4 linked regions of the Drosophila melanogaster genome follow. The gene in region 1 interacts genetically with each later gene. Each region holds a gene or a part of one and is shown on either strand. Other genes may lie near its edges.

The links.
Region 2: of sax (region 1) and fuss, changing one suppresses a phenotype caused by changing the other (phenotypic suppression), as found in Drosophila melanogaster (one study listed by BioGRID).
Region 3: of sax (region 1) and spin, changing one suppresses a phenotype caused by changing the other (phenotypic suppression), as found in Drosophila melanogaster (2 studies listed by BioGRID).
Region 4: of sax (region 1) and Mad, changing one suppresses a phenotype caused by changing the other (phenotypic suppression), as found in Drosophila melanogaster (2 studies listed by BioGRID).

What each region holds. Positions count from the first base shown.
Region 1 is NT_033778.4:7,804,473-7,810,591, forward strand, and holds sax (saxophone), read left to right. Parts: upstream 1-2,011; 5' UTR 2,012-2,065; coding exon 2,066-2,126; exon of another isoform or gene 2,127-2,540; intron 2,541-2,599; coding exon 2,600-2,729; intron 2,730-2,843; coding exon 2,844-2,879; intron 2,880-3,096; coding exon 3,097-3,172; intron 3,173-3,235; coding exon 3,236-3,894; intron 3,895-4,037; coding exon 4,038-4,448; intron 4,449-4,509; coding exon 4,510-4,735; intron 4,736-4,797; coding exon 4,798-4,947; 3' UTR 4,948-5,595; downstream 5,596-6,119. Other genes in the region: Nop17l (Nop17 like), read right to left, coding at 1-264; TTLL12 (tubulin tyrosine ligase-like 12), read right to left, coding at 5,634-6,119.
Region 2 is NC_004353.4:975,452-980,059, forward strand, and holds the start of fuss (fussel), read right to left. Parts: upstream 3,039-4,608; 5' UTR 2,756-3,038; intron 1,811-2,755; exon of another isoform or gene 1,315-1,810; intron 585-1,314; exon of another isoform or gene 1-584.
Region 3 is NT_033778.4:16,123,187-16,127,985, reverse strand, and holds the start of spin (spinster), read right to left. Parts: upstream 3,006-4,799; 5' UTR 2,610-3,005; coding exon 2,204-2,609; intron 1-2,203. Other genes in the region: CG30095 (uncharacterized protein), read right to left, coding at 3,409-3,671, 3,734-3,901, 4,289-4,502. UniProt on the Drosophila melanogaster protein: Probable sphingolipid transporter that plays a central role in endosomes and/or lysosomes storage. Involved in TGF-beta-mediated synaptic growth regulation both pre- and postsynaptically via its function in endosomal storage regulation.
Region 4 is NT_033779.5:3,146,716-3,154,400, forward strand, and holds the start of Mad (mothers against dpp), read right to left. Parts: upstream 6,039-7,685; 5' UTR 5,718-6,038; coding exon 5,714-5,717; intron 2,565-5,713; coding exon 2,089-2,564; intron 2,023-2,088; coding exon 1,332-2,022; intron 1,111-1,331; coding exon 704-1,110; 3' UTR 1-703.

The sequences.
Region 1 (6,119 bases):
TAGAGCGGTCTTGATCACGAATCCCGGCTTCGGGTGGATGAACCTCACCTCCACGCCACGCTCCTTCTCCAGCTGCGTGATCTCTGACTCGTAGATCTTGCGGTTCTCAGGATCCTGGATCTCATCCACGTAGTCGAAGAAGAGCTTGCGGAACTCCTCCTTGCCAAAGGCCTCCTGGAATCGGTTGAACTCGTCCCTGCTTATATCGAGCCGCTCATCGTCACAAAGTTTGGATTGTTTATTACGCGATCTAGATGCGGACATAGCTTTCTCGCAGGCACACTTCACTCACGGAGGGATCTCTTCGGTCTCCTCTTCTCTCCTCGGCACTTTTACTACACAAATACAAATTTTCTTATCACTTCGACGGGTTTTGATTTTTTGTTTGTTTCTATTTGTTAGGGGTTGCTCAGTTTTGGGCCACGTTTCCTTGGCAAATGCGTTGGGTTTCTATTTCTGGAAGGTTCTGAAAGTACAAATAAACATAGATGTAAGTACGGACAATCTTGTAAGATAATCAGCTATCTTATATTACGAATGTATAACTGCAATAACAACAAGACAAGTCGTTTGGGAAAAATTACTAGTTTTTCTGTTTCGGCTATACATATGTAAGTTCTATGTATACCTGGCTATTTTATAGTTTTGCAAATAAACCTTGAGGGCATGACTAAATCTTGCGGAACCTGGCGAAACTCTGGAAACTTTCCAATCGAATCTGAGATAAGCCAAGTAAGTACCAGGTCCCAAGGTTGCCCTAGGTCCTGACCATTTCGCAGCCAAAAAAAAACACCGAGCTGGCATTTAATCAAATTCTAATCAGCAGATAGGCAAATAAATATTAAATCAATGACGCAGAAAGGTCGCTGTCGAAAATCACCGGCTATCCGCCGGATTTACGGGCATTATGTAAGTAGATACACATGTGTGTAGATGACTACAAACTGACCACGAGTTTTTTTTTTACTTGTCGGCCAATAAATAAATAAACGAACTGCGTAGTTTGTGAAATTCTAGGAGAACGCGTAAATGTTTTCTGTTTTTTTTTTCGAGTTTTGGTGCGATGCTTTCCCGACGAGCGTTTTTATGAGAATGGGAGCGCTACGCCCGAAACGCCGGCAAATATTGGAGGCTCTTTGCGAGTCGAGCGGCCCACAGAGAGAGCGTCCTCTGCGCAGTGAGGGGCTTTTGATAAGCGCGAAAAAAACCACTTGCCCCAATTGTTTTTGTTTAGCGGGATTCTGCCCCCGCAGCCCCTGCGCTCACACACACATTATGCGATTTCTGGCGCAACCCAACTAATTGTACAATAAACGACCACATCTCTACACACATATGTATGTATATACAAAGATAATGTTTGTATTGCGTCTGCCAACTGATATTACAAACTTATGTACATACATATATGTGCAGGAGGGCGGGGGTGGTAATTGGGGGGTCAGTAAGATGATTCCCTACGGCGTGTGTATCTTCTCCATTGCAAGGAAAACGAGGAAAATTATAACAGTTACGTGACTAAAAACACATGTTTGCGCTGTGGGAGGGGGAAAACTCTGTCGTTTGATCGATACTAGCTGAAACCCATTGATTTTCTGGACAAACCGGTCGCAGTGGACATGAAAACCCTAACTAAGCAAATGTTTTGTTATATTCCATGACACCGGGTAGGTAAATCCGTTAATTTCACTCAGGAAAACAACTTAATGGCACGAAAACTCCTCCACTGAAGATCTCCTGCTTCTCCACTTACCTAAATTGAACACAATTATGCTTTGTGAACACAACGGCACTGAATAAAATAATTGTCTGTTAAATGGGCTCCTTTGCCAAAGACTCTTTGATGGGAGTTCGAGTTTGACGTTCTAGAAACTTTTCCGCTGACCGGCTGCTCGTGTTGGTGTGCGTGTTGTGCTTTGGTATTTTTACGCAGGGGATTTGGGAAATTTGAAGACCCGGTATTTTATGTGAAATATGTTATGTGCAGATGTGGGCCCTGGTCACACTGCCCGCTAGAAGTATATCGATAGGTTCCGATAGGCTCGGACAAATAACATTTCTAGCAATGGAGTCCAATATATATTTAGTTTTTCTATTGACGTTTCTGCTGTACAATAATGCCAGAGGTGGGCATCAATTAGTGTTAATCAATTACCAAGTGCTTGGTGAAGAGAGTGCGCAAGAGAAATTTCGATTTTATGGGGTTTTAGAGCCACATATAATGCCTTGAAAAGTCACTGAGTGTTTTGGGTTTGTTTTCATATGCTGCGGTTCTGGCCAATTGCGTTGCGTATTTGGCCAGGCCAAGGCGAAAAAAGTGCCCTCGGAATGCTGATTGGTGAAAGAAGCACCTGATGGATCCCACAGAATGTATTATATAAACGGATGTCGTGGGCGTTTGCAGCATAAGTGCATTTTCTCAATGATTTACCCACGCACACCACCGTTCTGTGTGTGTATACAGAACTTGCTGGGGCGCCTGTGTGCATGTGTGTGTGTGTGTTAGTGCTGGTGGCGTTTGTGTTGGTTGGGCCGTCCATGTGTGTACATATGTATATGCTATGTGCATATGGTTTAATGTGCATTTGTTATGTTTCAGCCGAAATCAGCGATCATCTGCGGGAGGACATACCGGACTTAGACATGGAGCTCTCCTCCGCCTCATCCGCCCATCTCAATGGCAAGGAGCTACCGGCCGTGCCACAGAACTCGGTGCAGACGCATCCCAGGTGATTATATCTTAAGTCTTGAGCCCATAGCTTGTAGCTCCCGCTTCCGCCCAAAGGCTTTGTATTGCTAATCTCATTTCCCTCCTAATTGCCATGCTGCTAATCCTTAATTAGGAGACACATTAAGAGTAAGCGCCGCATGAAGAGAAGGTAAAACCTACACGACTCATGAACTAAAACATCATAAACTGGTTAACTTTTAGTTAAAATTTTGAAAATATTCATAATTTTACTTAAAAAACCCCATTTTTTTTAAATATTTTATAGTATATTATACTTTTATACCCAAATGTTAACAATTAAAAGCTGCCCGTTTGCGTAACCGATTCTTCTTCAATCTTATTAAACTCTCTCTTTTTTTTATCAGATACAAATGCTACTCCTGCGAGCCGCCCTGTCGGGATCCCTATGAGTTTACCCACACCTGCCAGAATGCGATTCAGGTGAATACTCCACCTTAAACTTGATTAAAACTTAAATGTAACTTAATTTCCGAACTTCAACAGTGCTGGAAGTCGCGCACACGCGATGCCGATGGTCAGGTGCAGGAGTCACGCGGCTGCAGCACCTCGCCGGATCAACTGCCCATGATCTGCAGCCAGAACTCCTTGAAGATCAACGGGCCCAGTAAACGCAATACGGGGAAGTTCGTGAATGTGGTCTGCTGTGCCGGTGATTACTGCAATGAGGGAGACTTTCCGGAACTGCTGCCCTTCGACAGCAATGATGTGACGGTGATAACCGCGGATACCAGTAGCATAAGCAAGATGCTCGTCGCCGTTCTGGGTCCTTTTCTGGTCATCGCTCTGCTGGGCGCCGTGACCATCTTCTTCATTCGTCGTAGCCATCGCAAGCGTCTGGCTGCCTCGCGAACCAAACAGGACCCGGAAGCGTATCTGGTCAATGATGAGCTGCTCCGCGCCACCAGCGCCGGGGACAGTACGCTGAGGGAGTATCTGCAGCACTCGGTGACCTCCGGCTCGGGCAGCGGATTGCCGCTGCTAGTGCAGCGTACGCTAGCCAAACAGGTCACCCTGATCGAGTGCATTGGACGAGGCAAATACGGCGAGGTTTGGCGCGGTCACTGGCATGGCGAAAGCATCGCCGTGAAGATATTCTTCAGTCGCGACGAGGAGTCCTGGAAGCGGGAGACAGAGATATATAGGTGAGCAACAGATTATTTGTGACTCTGTAATTTGTAGCTGTAGAAATTTTTAACTGTTTCCCCAGAAGAAAAGTGCCCTAGTCCAGTCATGACTACCTACCTGTTGCTCTATGAATCATAAATAATCGTTCTTTGTTTTTCAGCACCATATTGCTACGACATGAAAATATTCTGGGATTCATCGGCTCTGACATGACGTCGCGGAACTCGTGCACCCAACTTTGGCTGATGACGCACTACTATCCACTGGGCTCGCTCTTTGATCACCTAAACCGTAACGCCCTAAGCCACAACGATATGGTATGGATTTGCCTGTCCATAGCTAATGGGCTGGTACACTTGCACACAGAGATATTCGGCAAGCAAGGCAAGCCAGCTATGGCCCACCGCGATTTGAAGTCAAAGAATATACTGGTCACCTCGAACGGCTCCTGCGTGATAGCCGATTTTGGACTGGCCGTTACCCATTCGCACGTCACAGGACAACTGGACCTGGGCAACAACCCCAAAGTGGGCACCAAGCGCTACATGGCCCCAGAGGTTCTTGATGAAAGGTGTGTGCTTATTGGCAGTACAAAAAAGAATATTTTTACATTAACAATTTGTCTATTGTAGCATTGATTTAGAATGCTTCGAAGCACTACGCCGGACAGATATTTACGCATTTGGACTTGTCCTCTGGGAGGTTTGTCGCCGCACCATTTCTTGCGGCATAGCAGAGGAGTACAAGGTGCCCTTCTACGATGTGGTGCCAATGGATCCCAGCTTCGAGGATATGCGCAAGGTGGTCTGCATCGACAACTACAGGCCCTCCATTCCCAATCGCTGGAGCTCGGATTCGGTAAGTCGCTTTCGATTGCCATTCTCTAGATCTTTGATCTCATTGTTGTTCTCATTTTTTAGTTAATGACTGGCATGTCCAAGCTCATGAAGGAGTGCTGGCACCAAAACCCCGACGTGCGCTTGCCAGCGCTGCGCATCAAAAAGACTATACATAAGCTGGCTTCCGCTGACGAGAAGATACGCCTGGACTTCGACGAGGTCTGCGTTTAGTGGTAGTAGTCGAGCCTTAGCTGTAAGCGGTAATTTAGTTGTACCACATAGGTAGTCTAAGATTCATTCATTGACATACCCTGCATTTCACACTATTAGTTCGTAGGTATATTATTCAAAGCTAAGCCAAGATCCTGCGTGTTGAAGCAAACTAATCCAAGTACAAGACCCTTGGGAGCTTATAGTTATATAGAAGACTTTAACATATTTACTTTATGTTTGGATTGACTTTATCGTTTCCGTTCCACCGTGAGCCTAGCCTGAAAAGGGTGCCTTTGAAATTGCCTTAAGTTAAAGTTAGCATCGACTCTAATGTATGTTCTTGGGATATCATCCTGTAAAGTTGTCATTTCACTATTTACCATTATTCATTGTTCATCAAGTGCCATTTGCAATTGAGAATTGTAAACGCCTTAACTTTAAGCTCACTCTTTGAACTTTACACTAAATTCATAACTCTAGAACTTGTCCATGCTATGATAAAACCATAAGCCACACCACCAACTGACTTGCTATCTTAGTTAGTTAAGCCTTTAGGACTTAGATACCCACGCATAGAAGCATACACACCTACTTGTATATTGTACAAATGGCAAGCTATTTAAGTTTTGTATAGTCTAAACGAAATGAAATACACGAATAGGCATTAAACTTTGGGATAACTGGGTTTATTTGCTCGGTTAATGTCAATTGTCTGGCGTCAGTACCCGGAAGCTATCGTCGTTTTCTTCGTCTAGGAAGAGCAGACGGAAGATGTCGTTGAAGAAGTCGGGATAGTAGTCGCATGCGCGTTTGCAGTCCGGAGTCCAGTTGATTTCCAGCAACTGGGGCTCCATCAACTTCTCCTTATCGTCCTTCCACCGCAGCATGATGTCGGCTGCGTAAAGAGCTCGTGATTGGGCACAAGGAGCCAGGCCGCAGGGTGGATCTGCTTGACTGGCGCACTGAAGCACCTCGAGCAGCATGCTACAGATCTGCTGCTCCAGAGCCGACCAATCGTTATCCGGATACTGTTCCTGCCAGAGCGTCAGGAAGTCGTCGCACTTGACGTGATGCAGCTGCGCCTCCGTCTGGTAGTTCATCACCGTGTAGTGTTTCTCGTAGTCATCGAAGTGATCCAGCGTGAAGGGATGGTTTGCGAAACGCAGGAAGAACTTCCGGTGTATATATGC
Region 2 (4,608 bases), on another chromosome or scaffold:
CGTCCACCAGGATGATTACTAGCCGAGAGTACTATTAATGCGAGTTGTTTTGTTTATTCCACTTTAAGATTCCTGTAGTGGTATAAAGTAAGTGCCGGCCCTTCTCCATCTGTAAGTAAGTGTTACAATTTTTGGCATCGGGTGAGTATGTAAGTATGTACATAAATGCATGTGCTTCACACTTGCGACTATGTACATAGGTGCACATGTACATATATTAACAATAAGCTTTGAGTGGAATATTCACCTAATATAATTTATGTGTATGCATTGGTTTTTTCTTGAATGTTCGACATATTCACAAATTTGCTTTACACATTTGCTTAAAGAAATTAAGTAAATAAATAAATTATTAATAAATTAGTGTAATATTTCAAGAAGACCGATGTCCATCAGAGGTTTGATAAGCCTCGCCAGGAGCATTGTCAAAGTCACCTGGGGATGTACCAAACAAGGTTTGTTTTAAATTAACAGTCATGCTTTTTTCTTTTTAGTTAAATTATTGATTAAATAACTATAAAAAGAATGTTGTTGTTCCCAAAAGCGAGATTGGCTCTCCTTTATACTGAGATCGGATCTTCTCTAAGCCGAGATCGGTTCTTCTCGATACCGACTTCTTCTGGACATCGAGAAGACATTCTCATTTCGATAGCTATTTGCACACTGAAAATGTTTCGATCTCGATATGCGTATGCTGAGTACGATTTCATCTTGTCCAAATTTTAGATCGAAATGAGTATATGAGTAACGGCAATAGCAATATTTCGTCACCCGTTGTTTAAAAACAATACAAGAAATAAAAAACTCAGCAAAAAAATACGTTTTTATCACGAATTTTTTTTAATGCTGTAGAGCCCTTGTAATTCCCTAACATCGCAGGTTTAAAAGTTTAAGCAACATTAAACAGCCCCTTTGCAAATATGAAAGAACTAACCCTTTTTATAACAAAAAAATATTTCGTCATATAAATTATAAAAATTGTTTAGAAGTGTGGTCGTGAAAATTTTGGGAGTTTTGTAGGTCAAAGGAGGGGCGTGGCCACAGTGTTTTTGGTATACCGATAAAAATACGCAAGACTAACTCACACTTGTACATATAGTTTGTGAATTGTCGAATATTTATTTTACTTATAAATCTCAAAATTGTGTAAACTTGGAATTTGTTTTTTCTTTTCTTGTATAATTAATATTTTTAATTTCTTTTTTGACTTAAAAATAAATATTGTTTAATTATATTTTATAAAAAATTGCGTTTAATTAAGCAAAGAACCCTTAATTTTTACCTTTAAAATCAAAAATTCAACCTATTTCACAGTGTGTAAAAAGTTTTTTGACAAACTGTACATACTGTCAGTATCGAAGGAACGCGGTGTCATTTGGTGACTATCCAGGTGAGTACAACCCCAAGGTGCACGGGCCCTAAGACCCCGCTCGCTTCTACGGTAAAGCCTGGCTGGGACGCCGCAACAAGACGCCCAACGCTGTGGCCGGAGCCGTGAACCGTGCATGCTGGCGCTGGCAGTACAACTACGTGTTCCCGAAGCGCGCCGTGATCGCTCCCTTCTTCCAGCTGACCGTCGCCAGCATGACGTTCTTCTGTCTGATTAACTACACCAAGTTGAAGCACCACAGGAACTACAATACCACTAAGGGTCGCTGCCCAGTGGTCCTGCATCTACAACAGATTCTACACTTTCCACAAGACGTGCCAGAGGCGGGCAGCACTAAACTATATCTATTTGGCTTTTGTGTTTTGAAAACTGCTAAAGTGAATAAAATGGCTGTGAATATCCATGCTGCCATAGACTCAGAAAATTCGCAAGACAAACAATAAAACAAAGAAAAATCTAAAAAAATTCAAAAGTGTTTGCGTCGCAAACGCGTCTAACGCTTTAGGGCGTTATTGTGGGCGTGGCAACAGGTTTTTTGGCAAATGAATAGAAATACACAAGACTCCTAAAATTACGAAAAAAAATTTCAAAAGCGTGGGCGTGGCATTTTGGGCGGTTTTAAAGTGTGGGAGTAGCAGTTTTGTGTGTGTCGATGTGTCTATGTCTCTGGAAGCTGCATCCTCAATCTCAACATTCTAGCTTTTACAGTTCCTGAGCTCGAGACATTCATACGGACAGACGGACAGGGTCAGATCGACCCGACTCGATCCTGCTTAATATATGGTCGGAAACACTTCCTTTCATACTTTTAACCGAATCTAATATACCCTTTTATCCTACGACTAACGGGTACAAAAATATAAGAATAAATAAAACAATATATATTTTTTTAAATATCACTTTAAACCGATAAGCTCGATTACGTTTTATTTTGAGTTTAGTATACAATTTATAGAACATTTTAGCCAGATAGTATTCAATGTTCTGAAGGAGTATACAACTTACCGATTTACCGTATACAATTTACCGAAGAGTACAATTTACACTTGTTTATGCTATATGGAATATATACGCATTGGTATAGACTTTTTACGACATTTTGCACTGTTTTAAGCGATTGTAAGTATTGATTTTTCGAACTAATGATTTTATTTTCGAAATTTAAAATAACGTTTTGTTGCAGACAGACAGAGAAACCAACCAAAATGTTTATTTCGTCACTATGTGGCCTTATGTCCACATTAAAATTTAAATATTTAGGAAATCCTTAATGATGTGGGGTCAGACGAACTTTTTGTTTTATGAACATTTGTGCGCGTATTTTCTATATTTGTTAGATAAATTTGTTAACACTTGTTGACTTACGTTCAAGTTCCGTTTAGATTCATTTCGCCTTATTAACACAGTTTTTTTTGTGAAGTTTCTTAAATTGTGTGTATTATTTTTGTTTGTTTTAAGATTTCGGTCCACTTTTATAATATATTTGGAACGTATATTTTATATACGTAATATTTCTCATTATTGAAGTTACATCTTATAGTTTGATAAAAGAAAGTATACTCGATTTTAGTTAAAAAATTTAACACAGTAGTTACTTTCTTTGAGGACTAGATTATTCCAACACGAAATAGGTGCGAAAACTGAATATGAAACACCATATTCGTTGGTATTGACATCGTTTAAAGAAAAGCAGCAGGAGTGGGAAACCGATACCGATACCAGATTGTAAAAGTCTAAGAACAAAATAATCCTGCTTATAGCCAATAAGAGACCGAAAGCAAATGATACACCACAGAAGAAGATATATATATATACATACTAGAAAAAATGAGCCAATAAGAATCAACTATCCTAATTTCCAGGGCGTTTCCAAAAGTACGCGCCTGCGCTCTTCTAAATATAATAGTTTGTGGTATCAACCCTGTTTTTGTACAGGTATGTAGCGACAATTGAAATGTTAAATGTTGCTTTCTATTCAATTAACTTCACCAACGAATTTAGGTAACGATAATTGAATTTAATTGGCGAGTTAAAGGATGTGTGTGTAATACATGAGCTCATTCTCACACAATTCATATACAACTGACATTTTATAGCAGTACTTAAGAGTAGGACGGTCAATGTTCTATGTAAAACCGAGATGGAACACTATAGTCAAGTTCGATATTTCAAAATTTTTGTAAAATATCGATCAAATTGAGAAACACTACAACATGAAAATATTTTTTAAAAATTTCAAGTTTGAAATTATTTCAATTTTGGTCCTTCCGTATCTATCGATACGCCAAAACGAATTTTTAACTTTTTCGTTCGTACTCTTACTAACCGAGTATGTGTATCTGTAACAGGTTGAAGGAAGAATTTCCGACCCGAAATATATACATATATATTTTTGATCAGGATTACCAGCCGAGTCGATTTGTCCGCATGAGCCTCGATCGCAGGAATTTTGAATCTAGAAAGTTGAGAGTAAGCATGCAGTTTCCAGATACATACATATATGCAGAGCAAGTTTGTTTCCTGATGTTGTCACGCCAAAAAAGGTAAACGCCTCCGCGCCCACACCTTTGAAATTTGTTTTGAATTTTTTCATCACTTTATTAATCTTGTAAACTTCTATCGATATGCCACGTCCACTCTTACGCCCACAAACCGCCCAAAACTACCACGCCCACACTGTTGAAAAATGTTTTGTTTTTTGTATAGTACTTGATTTGAAAATTTCTATAGATGTACCAAAATCATTTGTGAGTTGCTCATGAACCGCCCAAAATGTCACATATCTGAAAAAATTTTTAATATTATTATTTCTTCCCTATTCAAATTGACATACCAGAAAATTGGTGATATTTTTCGTTCGAACTTCCATTAACAGAGTAACAGGTATCTGGTAGCCCGAGAACTCTACTATGGCGTTCTCAGTTGCTTAATGTGGATTGGCCAGAGCTTTGATGTAAACAGATGTGCCTAGATGGCTGGAAAAATGAAAGCATTTTTCTGTTGATGTTATCTATGTTAAAGCTACGACTCAAACCTAGTAAATTTTACTTGAAAATAATTGACATCTCTATTCCTACACATGTTTTGTTAAATTTTTGTATTATATTATCGATTAGAATTGAGTACTTGTGTAGATTTCAAAACGGGAACTCAAAACAACTGCAAAGTGCGTAATGGCAACACCCAATATGTGTAGAAATAAGGATGGCAACATCGTT
Region 3 (4,799 bases), 8.3 Mb from region 1:
ATGATCAAAGTTCGCTGTCGGTGCAGAAATTGAATTTACTGTCAACAACAGAATAGCCCCGCCCCCCCCTTCCCATCCACCCTCACACAGATCACGATCATGAATGAAGAGGGGGGCTTCCCAGTGTTTTTTTTTTTTTTTTGACCGAACGAGGTGGTTACAAAACATCACACCACTACCGTCAGTCGGTCGGTTTTAGCTTAAAAAACCAGGCGAATTTCAGCAAAGTCGGAGGTCGAAGCCAAAGGCCGAGACGCACTTAAAATTATAATTAAATGCATTCCATTAGGTTGGGCAGACATCAGCTGATACACACGTCTATGTGCGCCAAATAAATATATGCATATGTATGCATGTATTTTTGCTTGTTATATACAACCACACGGAAACGTTGCAAATGCCGAAATTCACATTAAATACAAAAGGGCCAAGCAATCAGAGCAGTCAGTTAGCAGAAGCTAAACAAATAATCGCTTGGTAATCTAATCACTGCAAAAAAGTGACCCAAAACACCACGTGCACTGCAGCTGGTGATCCAATGCAATTGATTATGCAGCGCGTCTGGTTTCAGCCACTTCTTGATAAGGCCCAAAAAAGTGGGGGGGGGGTTGATAATGATAACAATGCCACTGGCAGAAATGGCAAAACAAAAACCTTGTGCGACCGACCATTGTTTATATGAGTTTTCTATTTCGCCTTGCGCTCGCAGAATTCTCAAAATAAACAATCAATTAGGCGCCCATGGAAATAATGAAAATTTCCGAGTGGCGAGTAGCGATGTGTGTTTATATTAAATATAATATGTAAACAGCGATTTTGTTTGGCTCGGTATGTAAGTGCTATCGCCCCTTTTCGGTGAGTAATTCCACTTCCTGTTCTGTTGCAAAAAGTCGTATGATGTTTTTTTAGTCACTCGATCCGGTGGCTTTACACGAATCAAAAGCTTATGATTTGCAACCGAAAAAAAAGGGTTGTAAGATCGATTTCCAATTGCCGCTGCGGCAATCAACTGATAACTAATAGCCAGTGATTTATAATTGCAAATTAATTGCAACTACACATACAGTAAAAGACGTTATCACATGGCCTTGAGTGGAAAAGTTCTGCTGACTCAGGAAGAACTGGCTGTTCAGGTTCACGAAGAAAATGCGAAACTATAGCTATAATATACACATATTTAGAAATGCATATTAAACGGTCGTCTGAGGCGGACTTGTACGTATAATAATCAGTCACAACTTGTTTCGCCATGTAACCTGAAACAAGTTTCCAATCGATTTGCACCGCGTTTTGTGTAACTAAGATGTCGCCAGTCGAAGTGCAAGTGCAATCGGTAGTAGTCTCATTTTCCAGACACAAGTAAACAGTGAAAAGAACTTCGGCACTCAACAAGTGTCCAATGAAATGCCGCCCGCATGAATTAAGATCAATTTCCTTCGCTAATGTTCTTAATAATAATAAACTCAACAATTATGTGGGCAGTGTGTCTGTATTTATCGACTGAAACATGAGATTACCCTGTAATTGTCACGCGGGCGGGGGACTTTCTGATCGCCGATCGCAACTACCATTACCCGCCGTGCTAAGCAGGTCAGGTGCCGCCACCGCCGTGCTCACTCACTCCATTTTATCGCACCTGAGTGCTAGAAATAATATACATATGTTTAGGTTTAGGCGAAATGGGTCTTGATTGATTGCCCACCCAGTGGAAATGTCCCGAGTTTCGGTGCAAAGCGAATCGAATGATAAAATGCTCTGTATGAATATTTTTGGATCGCGTGATTCACTTGTAAGTAGATTAGTCACTAATCAAATTCTCTCGCTCGCAATCTTTATGGTACATTTTGTAAACAATGGGAACGCGACGACTCGCATTGTCGACGATGAGGTATAAATTTCAACTGATTAGGTCACAAGTATTGTTGATTAGCGGCTGCTAATTAATAACATTATGATTTTGTCAGCAGATTTTGTGCAATTTAAATGTTTTTATTATTCTTTTGCCTGATATATAAATGAATACATACTATAAGTGCTTTGGGCTGCCCAATCTTTTGGTCACACAAAAGTTGTGATTTTTACAGCGGTCTATAGCAATCTTCTTCAATAGTGTCAACAAATTTTCCTATCTACTGCGGCAACAAGCCCCCCAAAAAACGTATGGAATCCCATAGGACACCCAAAGAGGTATCACCGGACTCACCTGCGATCGTAAAGCGATCCATGTAGTTGATGAGGTTGACGAAGCATAGCACGGTAACGGTGAACCACTGCGATCTGCCCACGCTGGAGAGACGCGATGGCACGACGGCGGATGGTGGTATGCCCGGGATGTGGTGGTGCTCGCCCAGTGGGTGGTGGTGATGGTGGTGGGGACGCAGTCGGTGCCGCTCCTCCTCCATGCTGTCCGTATCCGAGGGCATCAATTGCTGTGACGAGTAGGTCGTAGGCAGTCCGAGCGGCGATAGATTGGCCACATCCTCACGACTCCCGCCCTCCTCAGAGGAGCTGCTCCCACTGCTACCGCTGCTCTGGATCATCGCCGGATTGTCCATGGCGGCCGCCGTTGGGAGCGGTTGGTAGGATTGCTTCTGGTGTTTCAGCGACATTCACCCGATCACTCGATCCTCTCTTCTCTTCTCGCGCTCTCGCTGTCCTCTTTCGGTTGGAAATTCGCAGCAGGCGGACAACGCGGCAAAAAGTTATTTGCACACGCTCTTTGCTCACGCACACAGAGAAACGGGAACTCGCGATGAAAGCGGTTCAAAAGCGAATGCAAAAGAATTTGCTCTTGGGCTGTTGGCACACCACCGCGCTTCTCTTTTATAACACTTTTGCCAATTTGTATGGCTAATTCGACTGTGTACTGAGACACTTCCTCTAATCGCGGTTGTTCTTTAAATGCAGCCAATGCATTTGCAGTGCTTCTCGCTGTTTTTCTTTCTTGTTTCTTCCGCGACGCGAACACTGTTGCCTTTCCAACTGGAGTAAGTGCAATAAGTGTGACCGTCCGGCGACCGCGAATATATACCAGAATCCAATTGGCGATGACAATTTCGATAGTACTATCGATAAACTAAGACCAGCTGCATATCTATCGACTAATATCGGTATAGCTATGCCTATCGATAAAAAACATTTAAAGCAATTTTTAATAAATATTTTTACATTTAATACAAAAACATGAACAAGAATCTATATTAACAAGCTAAGTTGCGCTCTGTTAATTAAAGAATTTTTATTTTGCCATAATATTCTGAGCATTACAGATAGTGTACCACTTATCTCTAGAAAACTGTTGACAACCGAATTTGAATTCAAATTTAAGCGATGATTTTTTGGTTATGATTGTGATGATTAAAATCTAAGTGCGTTACGAAGGTATATGCGAATGAAAAAGAACGATTTCTATTCAATATCCATATCATCTACGCGCCCGCGAACGCGATTCTTGCGCTTGTGTTTTTTAGTGGGCGGTGGCAGGAAACTCTCAAGAAACTCAATGGTATTCAAAATCGTTTCCGAACTGACGTTTCCAATGTAGTTCTTGTCGAAGTAGACGACCGGTACAGGTGGCTCCGTTGAGAGCAACAATTTGTCACAATTACAACGCTGTCCCTGAATTTTTGCATCGAGCGTTTCCACTTCAACATCTGTGTTATTTGATTTGTCTGGAAAGAGGTGCCTAAATAGGTCAATCTATGTCTGAACTCCATAAAGAGTTGCCACCCACCGAATAAGGGACGAAAGCACTCCTTCACCTGAATCCACTTGGTGCAAAACTGTTTGATGAAACTGTCGTTCTGATTGAAGAAACTGCGAGCTGCATTGTCAACCCGGTATTTCATGAATCCAGGCACATATGGCCATTTGCCCTTCGCGGCATAAAAGCATATGATGTCTGAAATGTAAAAATTTAAGCGATTTGTAATTCTGCTAGCCTTAATAAAAGTATTCATATGCTTGAGGAGATAAAAATTTAAATATTTTAGTTGCTAAAGAAGTTTATTCATTGTTTCCTTGCGACATATGATAAATTGTGAAAAAGTATAGCATACTTTTAGGCTTAGCCGTATTCGTCTCTTAAAATGATTTCAATGCGTTGTGGATGTCTTTTAAACTGAAAAGAACTATTGTAAATTGGGAAGATATCACACAGAAACCTATGTTCTAATCCTTGTTCAAAATACAGAGATCTTGATCTAGAACATTCTAGTTAAATGTGGAAAAACTATGGCCCATTCTTGTATATAACACTTTCGATTGCGAAATAGATTGCTTAACTTACAGGGCACATGGAAGAGATGAAGAAAAGTGCGCTGATGCTCCAGACTGGAGATGAGATGAATACCGCTGGACCGCCGATTGGCCAGGGCCTTTCTTCCGGCAAAGGGAATCTCATCCACGCGGACACTCTTCAGATATGCCTCGCCCATGGTGAATAGAAATATGGCTAAAAATAGGGGCAGAATATGCAGAGCGATTTTCCGACGCAGCTCCATTGTCGAACTTTCCACTAGCCAGCAATAAATGTGACTGACGAATGTCCTGCAGGAATTGTCAGACACCTGAATGATTTCACTGCGCTCTCTATTGATTTTAATTGTGCTCGAGGTTGACATAAATCCAGGCAATAGGGATACATTGCATGTGCTAACCCAATTTGCCAGCCACAAAAAGTTCATTGCACTCAAAGTTACATTTGTGGAATATACATGACAACAAACATCATACATACAACAAAAATTAAGTCACAGGAAATGCAGTATGCAAATCATGAGTCATTAGCTAATATTTAT
Region 4 (7,685 bases), on another chromosome or scaffold:
TCTTGTTTGATGTTTTCGATTTGTTTGCAACTTAAAATTAGTTAAACCATATATATATTTAAATCAACTATATTGAACATTGAATTCGTTGATCCAAGGCGAACCGCAAATGAGAAAAATAAAACATAAGCTAGGGCTTCTTCAAAATCATTTTAAGAAATGTATTGCAATAAGTGTTTTCATATCCCTACGTAAGTTACTTGTTCCTTATGTAATTAAAGTTGGTAGGATTAATTCAATGTGTTTTTATATTTAAAGCAGTTTTGCAATGACACATAATTAGCACTTGAAATAGACTTGAACAAGAACTGTTTTGCCAATGGGCATAGATCATTAATATTATAGCATGTAGATCATTGTAAATAGTTATACCATTTTGTAATTGGTTTCTTAGCTCGCTGTCCATTTTCATTACTCTGTTTTAGCGTTAGGAATGACATTCGCATAGAAAATCATACGATAAACTATAAAATATGGGCAAAGGGCGGGTATTGGAGTAGCTGCCGTACATCATCTATATAAATCTGCGACTGAGTGGCATGGACCTCCATCCTCAGGCCTACAGACCTATGCTCTCTCCATTGTCCTGTGTTCTCTACGTCTTTTCACACTTAGCTTTCACTCACACGCACTCATCATTTAGCTACCGGTTTTGTGTTCCTTCTCTTCCGTCTCCATTGAGGACTCGAGCCTCATCTTAAGCTTAGGATACCGAACTAATTGCATTATGCGGAGAGCCCATTTGGGTGAGCACCTTGTCCAGCCACTGGAGCGGCCCGTGCAGATGGATTTCAATCCAACAGGGCGTCGAGGTCACATCCTGGCGATGATACTCCGCACCCCAGCCCTTCACGAACGACATCCGGATCGTGCACATCTTTGTCAGCTCGTAGACGGCCTCGAATCCATTGTTCACCGACTGCGACAGCAGCTGAGCAAATTCCTGATTGTTGAAGATCTTCAGCGAGCAGCCCGGCGGTATTTTGCACACGGTGCTCGGATGGAATCCGTGGTGGTAGTTGCAGTTGCGCGACTGCACGAAAATGGCGGAGTCGGATAGGCATTCGGCGTAGACCTCGCCGGTCACATAGTATAAATGAACACCCTTGCCTGGGGAAGAAGAAACATTTTGAGTTAAAAAGACAGGTAGTTGGATTCTTGAAGTCCATAGCTTTCTACTCTACTCAATGCCTATTTTTATAACTGATAAACACAAGTCGCTTTCTAATTTAAGATTACCAATGTGTAATCTTAGTTATTAACCACTTTAAGATAGTTGCTGATGGGAAATCTCTGTGAGTAAGTTAATTTAAGTGCTAAAATCGACTCACCTATATGACGGCGTGTGTTCTCGATGGTGCTATTCCTGTTCACGTTGCTCAGCTGGCCGAGACAGCAGCGGTCCGAGTTGTTGGAAGGATTCGTGAAACCGTCAACGATCACGGAGTTGTTGTTGCAGTGGAACACCTCGCCCACGCGGCAATTTAGCTCGTAGTAGGCTATCGACGCCCAGAAGGCGGGCTCCGAATAGCTAACCTGGGCAACATCGCCCATCTGAGCATCCAGCAGCTGGCCACCGTCGTTCGGATTGTTGGAGTTGCCATCCTCCGAGGGACTGTAGGCGGGTGGCGGTGTTCCCGCCAAGCTGTCGTACGGCGAATTGGGATTGGAGTTGACGGAACTCGGACTGCCCACCGATGTGTTGCTGGTGCTCAAGCTGTGCGAGTTGAATCCACTGTTCGAGTAGCTCACATTGTGCGGCATACTGGGCTCGGCCACATGGTTGAACTGCAGCATCGAGTGACCGGGCGCGAATTCCGAGTGGCGAGGAACGAGTACTGGCGGGAGCACCGGACTCTCCACGCGCTTATAGTGATACGGATTGATGCACACCTCCTTCTGCTTGGCGCTGAACGGATACTGGCACAGCTCGAGTGGCTTCAGTTCGTGGTGCGACTGCAGATCTGGCCAGCGCCACACGCGGCAGTAGATCACATGCGGCAGACCCTTGCGATGGGAGACCTGATATTCGGAAATAGGAGTTAATAATCATCTGTTACTTAGCTGGCCATGTGGCTTGTGACCCACCTGTAATCGTCCGTCCAGCGAGCGTGGAATGGTGACACACTTCGAGGGCTGACCGGGACAGGAGAGCGCACGCTCCAGCTCCTCGATGGCGCCCTTGCGCTTCTTCAACTTCTTCACCAGACTGTCGACGGCCTTCTCCGCCCACTTCTCCTCTTCGTCACCCTGTTTCCAGCCCAGCAGCTTCTTCACCGCCGGCGATGTGAAGGAGAATAGCGAGCCCAGTGTGGACATCGCGCTGCTTGTGTTCGATTCCACATCGTCGGTGTCCATTCTGTTGCTGCTGCCGCTGATTGCTGTCGTCAAATTGAGGTTGTTGCTGCTGCCACTGCTGCAGATGTGGTTATTGTTATTGTTGATGTGGTGGATGTTGTTGTTGTTGCTGCTGCCGCTGCTGATGGTGGTGGTGGTGGTGGTGCCGCCGTTGATTTGGGGTGGAGTCACCCGATAACCGGTATAACTATCAGCGGGCGGATAGTCTGTGAAAAGAGCAAGTAAAAAGCAAATATAAATAATAAATACAAATAGAATTGCAGGCATTCATCATCGAGCTTAGATTGTCTCAGCAACGCCCACAACACAACGCATGCAAAATTCGAATGCACTGAGAGAAATGTTATAGAAAACTTTGCATCTAATTCAAGCAAATGTTTATACGTAACAAAAGGGGAAGTCAGCAACTTATGTGACCCTTTTTCTTCGAGTGTCTTTACCCGCTTGGCCAAGTGCCCAGCAGAAATTGGAGGAGGAGTGAGTATCCATGGGGCCTGGCAGTGCATCGTGTTTCTGGCTAGTGAATGAAGTCGTTGGGAGGTTCCTGTCATGAACGGACTCCTCCCACTTTCAATGTTGGCGGCCAATTGCATGCAAATTGCCTGCAACATTTTCTCATTGAGAATAATGGCCATTATTGCTTCACTTAACCAACTAGCTGATTAATCGAATCTCGATTTCGTTGGAAACTTATTTTTATCTATTAAATATGGTTATTGTTCGTATTCAATCGCAGCTGACGTCAATTGTGAAACGATTCTATTGTAAGGGGGGTATTTTTGAGGTCTGACAGTTCTTTGAATTCCAAAAAACCACAAAGGTTGCGAACGAAAAGAGTTCGCACTTTTCAACGTTATAAATAGTATTAGTTTTCGAACACAACAATTCTGCAAAAATATATGAATAATAGGTAAATTTATGAAGCACAGATAATAGTTTCATGTGCTGGTTTTCGGGCTGCCTTATCGATTCTTAGAAAATTGGCATTAAGAAATTGGTTTATCAACAGAAAAAACTAAACTATAGCAATAAAAACCCACTGTCTTCATTCTATTTAGTTAGGCTCCACTGTACTGCAGTAATATTCGAGTCGAGTGGCGAGAACTGCATCTCATAATGAGCGCAAATGATAACCAAATGGTGTTCGACTTGTCAGCGCCACAATTGTGGGTATTCCCCCCTGTTTTCTACGCCCCCCCCCCTCCATACTTTTCCCCACCAAAGACAACAATTCCATTTGAATTATGACATTTCAATGTTAACAGCATTTCTGAGGAACTTCTCTCCGTTGGCCAAGTGGCTGCGCTCCAGTTGGCTGTCTTAGCCTCAATCTCGTTGCTTTACTCAAGGTGTCAAAAAATGTTTGATTAAATTTAAAAGTGACAAAACCTAATTGAATGAAAATTTGTAGTAGCAATTAATTTGTGCAAGCTGGAGCAAAAATCGGCGAGCCACACAAGGCGAACTTGCTAGGCGAACCACCCATTTTTGTGGCAAGCAAACGGGCTGGTAAATCCAATTTCAAAAGCAATTAAATGCCGGCGATAAATCAACAAGTGCAGCACTTGGACAACAAGAAAACACCTCTCGATTGGGCTCCCGACAGACCAAATGGCGCATATTTCTGGCCAAATTAGCCGTTGCGTGAATTAATTTCGATTTTCTCGCTCAACTCGGGCCTAAAAATTTTGGGGCGTTGCCGTTTTCTTTTTTTTTTCGCAGCATTGACAATTTTATGTTGTCGCCCATGGAAGGGGGCGTGGTCAACGAGGACCAGTGGTTGGGGGCAGTCACTTTTCTAATTGCCCAAAGTCAACCAGAGCCTCCGGCGGTAGATATATTGCTCTAAGAATGCTCTAACTTTATCACTAGCCTACAAGAATATATTGAAATTAATGATAAGTCACACAACCATTTTGATTACCAAAACTAGCTTAAAAACCTCTTCCAAAAGATTAGGATTACGAACAAACAATCGGTACCTTATCGAAAATGGTACACCTTTGCTTATAACTAATCCCAAAATTAAACATACAGTGGAGTACCAGTTCACATGGTCTCTCCTTCTCAGTAACTCAGGATACAAACGGAGTGACACTTGGCGGACAGACTTATCGAGGGGGTTAGTGGAGATAGAGAACTCTACCCTACGTATTTACCCAGCTGACTAGTGTCGTGTGTTTTTAGGTGGCAATGGTGCTCTAGTGGAATTCGATTGATTTGAGTGGGGCAGGCATACAAATTTCGATAATGCCCCCGTTTTGTTTGTGCAAAGCTCGATTGCAGGTGAGGTTTTCGACATAATCAGTCGGTTTTCAAAAGGGGAAACTACCCCATTAATTCGCAGGAATTACATAAAAACTTTATTTACACGATCATAACAACATATTCAACATATTTATGATGTTTATTCGGAGATTTGATGGTTTTCCAAACAACAAAGTGGCTTTCTTTAGGCACTTAAACGATTTTCTTGTTTTGTCTCTCAATGCATCTCGAGTTGAACGATACTAAATATAAATATAATAAGTCCTTTATGATCCATTATCATATGGGACATTCCCCATATCAATTAAAGATCAATAATCGTAATTCGCAATTACATATTACCCGAGCTGAGATCACGTACCCAACGTACCCGCCCAAAGTGGCCCAGTCTTCTTTCTGCTTTCAAGAAAACCACACTCGAAGGAAAGTTCTTCATTGCTTTCAAAGCAAATTCAATTGATGGTTCTTGGTTTAAAGTGAATCTACTTTTAGTCTTATATTTAGAGTAACTAAATTGAAGAATTGCATTTCAAATCGGCTGTGTACATTCTTCTGGTTAGTGATTCCATTGTGAGTTTCTTTTCAGTGCATCGCTAGTCAGGGATCATAACTCAACTGGAGAAACGGAGGAGCGAGGATATCGAGGCACTTTTATGGCAGGCACGCATTCGCGCATGCGTATCATACCATTCCAATCGATAATCAATCATAAATGCGGCAGTGACAATAAGGCGTAAATCATGGGAGCCAGGTAGAAGTAGAAATCAAGGTGGATGGATGGCAAGTACACAAGTACAGAAGTACAGAAGCACTTCCGCTGCCATTGAAAGCGGGCAAAAAGCGTGGTAAAGGGTACTACGACTAGTGCCACAAAAATAACAACAAAACAACAAGAAAAAAACGAACAGACAGAGAAAATAGGGACTTGGACCCATGTTTAAAAATAAACAAACAATGCACACACAAAAACGCAGCGCGATAAAGACCAAAACCAAACAGGCCAAAGTTTCGATTTGATGCGAGGAGGAAAACTCAAAAATCGAGCAACTCGAGGCAAACGAGAACTATGTACGAACTAAGAACCTACACATGATGATGTTGAGATTGCAGATATTATTTTATTTATTTTTATTGCACGCACAAACACACACACACACACGGACAAGAATTCAGCATCAAAATGTTATTTTATTCGTATGCAAATCGCAAACGCGACCCTCCACGACGATCGGGCATCCAATCCAGTCGCCTCAGCAGTTACATTTCCGCTGCGAGTCTTCAATTCAATCGTTATCACCGTAATAACTTCATTTATTTAAGCCTTTTGCCGTATTATTTTTTATTTTCGCCGTAAATTACGCAAAGTGGAAATGGCAGCGAGCGCGAATCAGAAGTCAACTGCACGACACGACCGATCGACAACGAATGCCGAACGGGTTGCCCAGCAAACTGAGTGCGCCGAGTGTTGATTGACTGACTGACTGACTGACTGACTGACGAACTGACTGACTGAGTGAGTGACGAACTGAACGCAGCCCAAACTGCATTCGTATTGTGTATCGGTGTGAGTTCGCCAGGGATGCGAAGCAGCAGGTCCATCCTAAAGTATCTAAAGGTAACACAAACTACTTTCTACAGTTATTAATAAGTTTAAGACTGGAAAATTGAGTTATTATATTCCATTTTCTTAATATTTATCTATTTAGTAATGTACTTATTGTAGCCCTAAGAGAGTATAAATCTAGTGTATGTATCCCTATTGAATCCCTTCTTTATCACCAGCTAGTCCGCAGCCCTGATTTCTGAAGACCTCTGAGTGACGTATTCGTATTCGTATTCCTGTGCTCGTAATTGGTTTCAGTGTGCGTTTGGGGCAGCCAAGTGCACACCACTACACCCATACAGGCAACGAAAGTTTTGTTTTAAACAAATCAAATGCCCTATCTGCAGTTGGGGGCGCCAGCACGTGAGCGCGAACGTGTTTGTGTGCAGCAGATCACACGGCGAGAAAAATATGCAACATTTGTATTTCAAATAACAATGTTACTTGAAGAACTAAGATTTAACATTTGAGTACTCTTTTACTTAACTCTTTTTCGAATTAAATAGACATTGCTGTTTTTAGATGCACACTAATTTGTTTGCAGTGCATGGCCTTTGGTGGTGTTGGAGGTGGCGTCAACCCACAGCCACAATCAAACTGTAAACACCCCACCGCAACCACAACAAAAATGAAGGGAACGTAGTTTCAGGGGAGGAGTTTAAGAGAAGGCAGCGTCAACGAATTTTTTCGTGCGTGGGACCGGCGAGTAATTGAACCTAAAATTCGATGAAGCCCTCCTTCGGCAGAGTGTTTTCGGTACGAAAATAAGCGGAAACAAATCGAAATTCTATTCGCAAATGCACTGCCAATTTTTTTTAATGGGTAAAGCAACGAAACTAAAGTTTTTTCGTTACGAAATCTTTTGAATTGAAGTCAAGCGAACCTATTTTCTTGGCCCGGACTGTACGTGTGCTTAGAATGCGAGCATGTTTATGTGCGATCGCTCCTCCCTCCCTTCGCTTTTATTGCGTGTTTAACACTACTAAACGCGAACTTATTGCAAACATGGGTAGCATTATACAGTCGCAGTAAAATCGAAATAGTAATGAAGCGCACTCTCCTCGAAAGCAGAAGTGAAAACGACGAAAAATAACAAAATAATTATGTAGTCCCTTTGGAACAATAAAAATTTATGCACGCAAATTGCACAAAAGCGGAAAACTCAAAACACACACGTGCCGAAGTGCAAACGTCAAGGGGCAAAAATGCGCAGGCACGGCAGAAAATCCTTTTTTAAGTAAATTAACTCAATTCTAATTGCAAATAATTGCCGCGATAATTGCAGGGGGCCACGCAGAGGCTTTGTGTCATGTGAGTAATTGAGCTGTCAACACGGGGACACCACCGCTTTTCCGCAAAAATGAAAAAAATTGCCAGTCGGTGGTGGGTGGTCTACACTACTTTCAAATAAATAGCTTTCAGTTCCATCTTGATTTGAAATAATTTCAATGTTTAT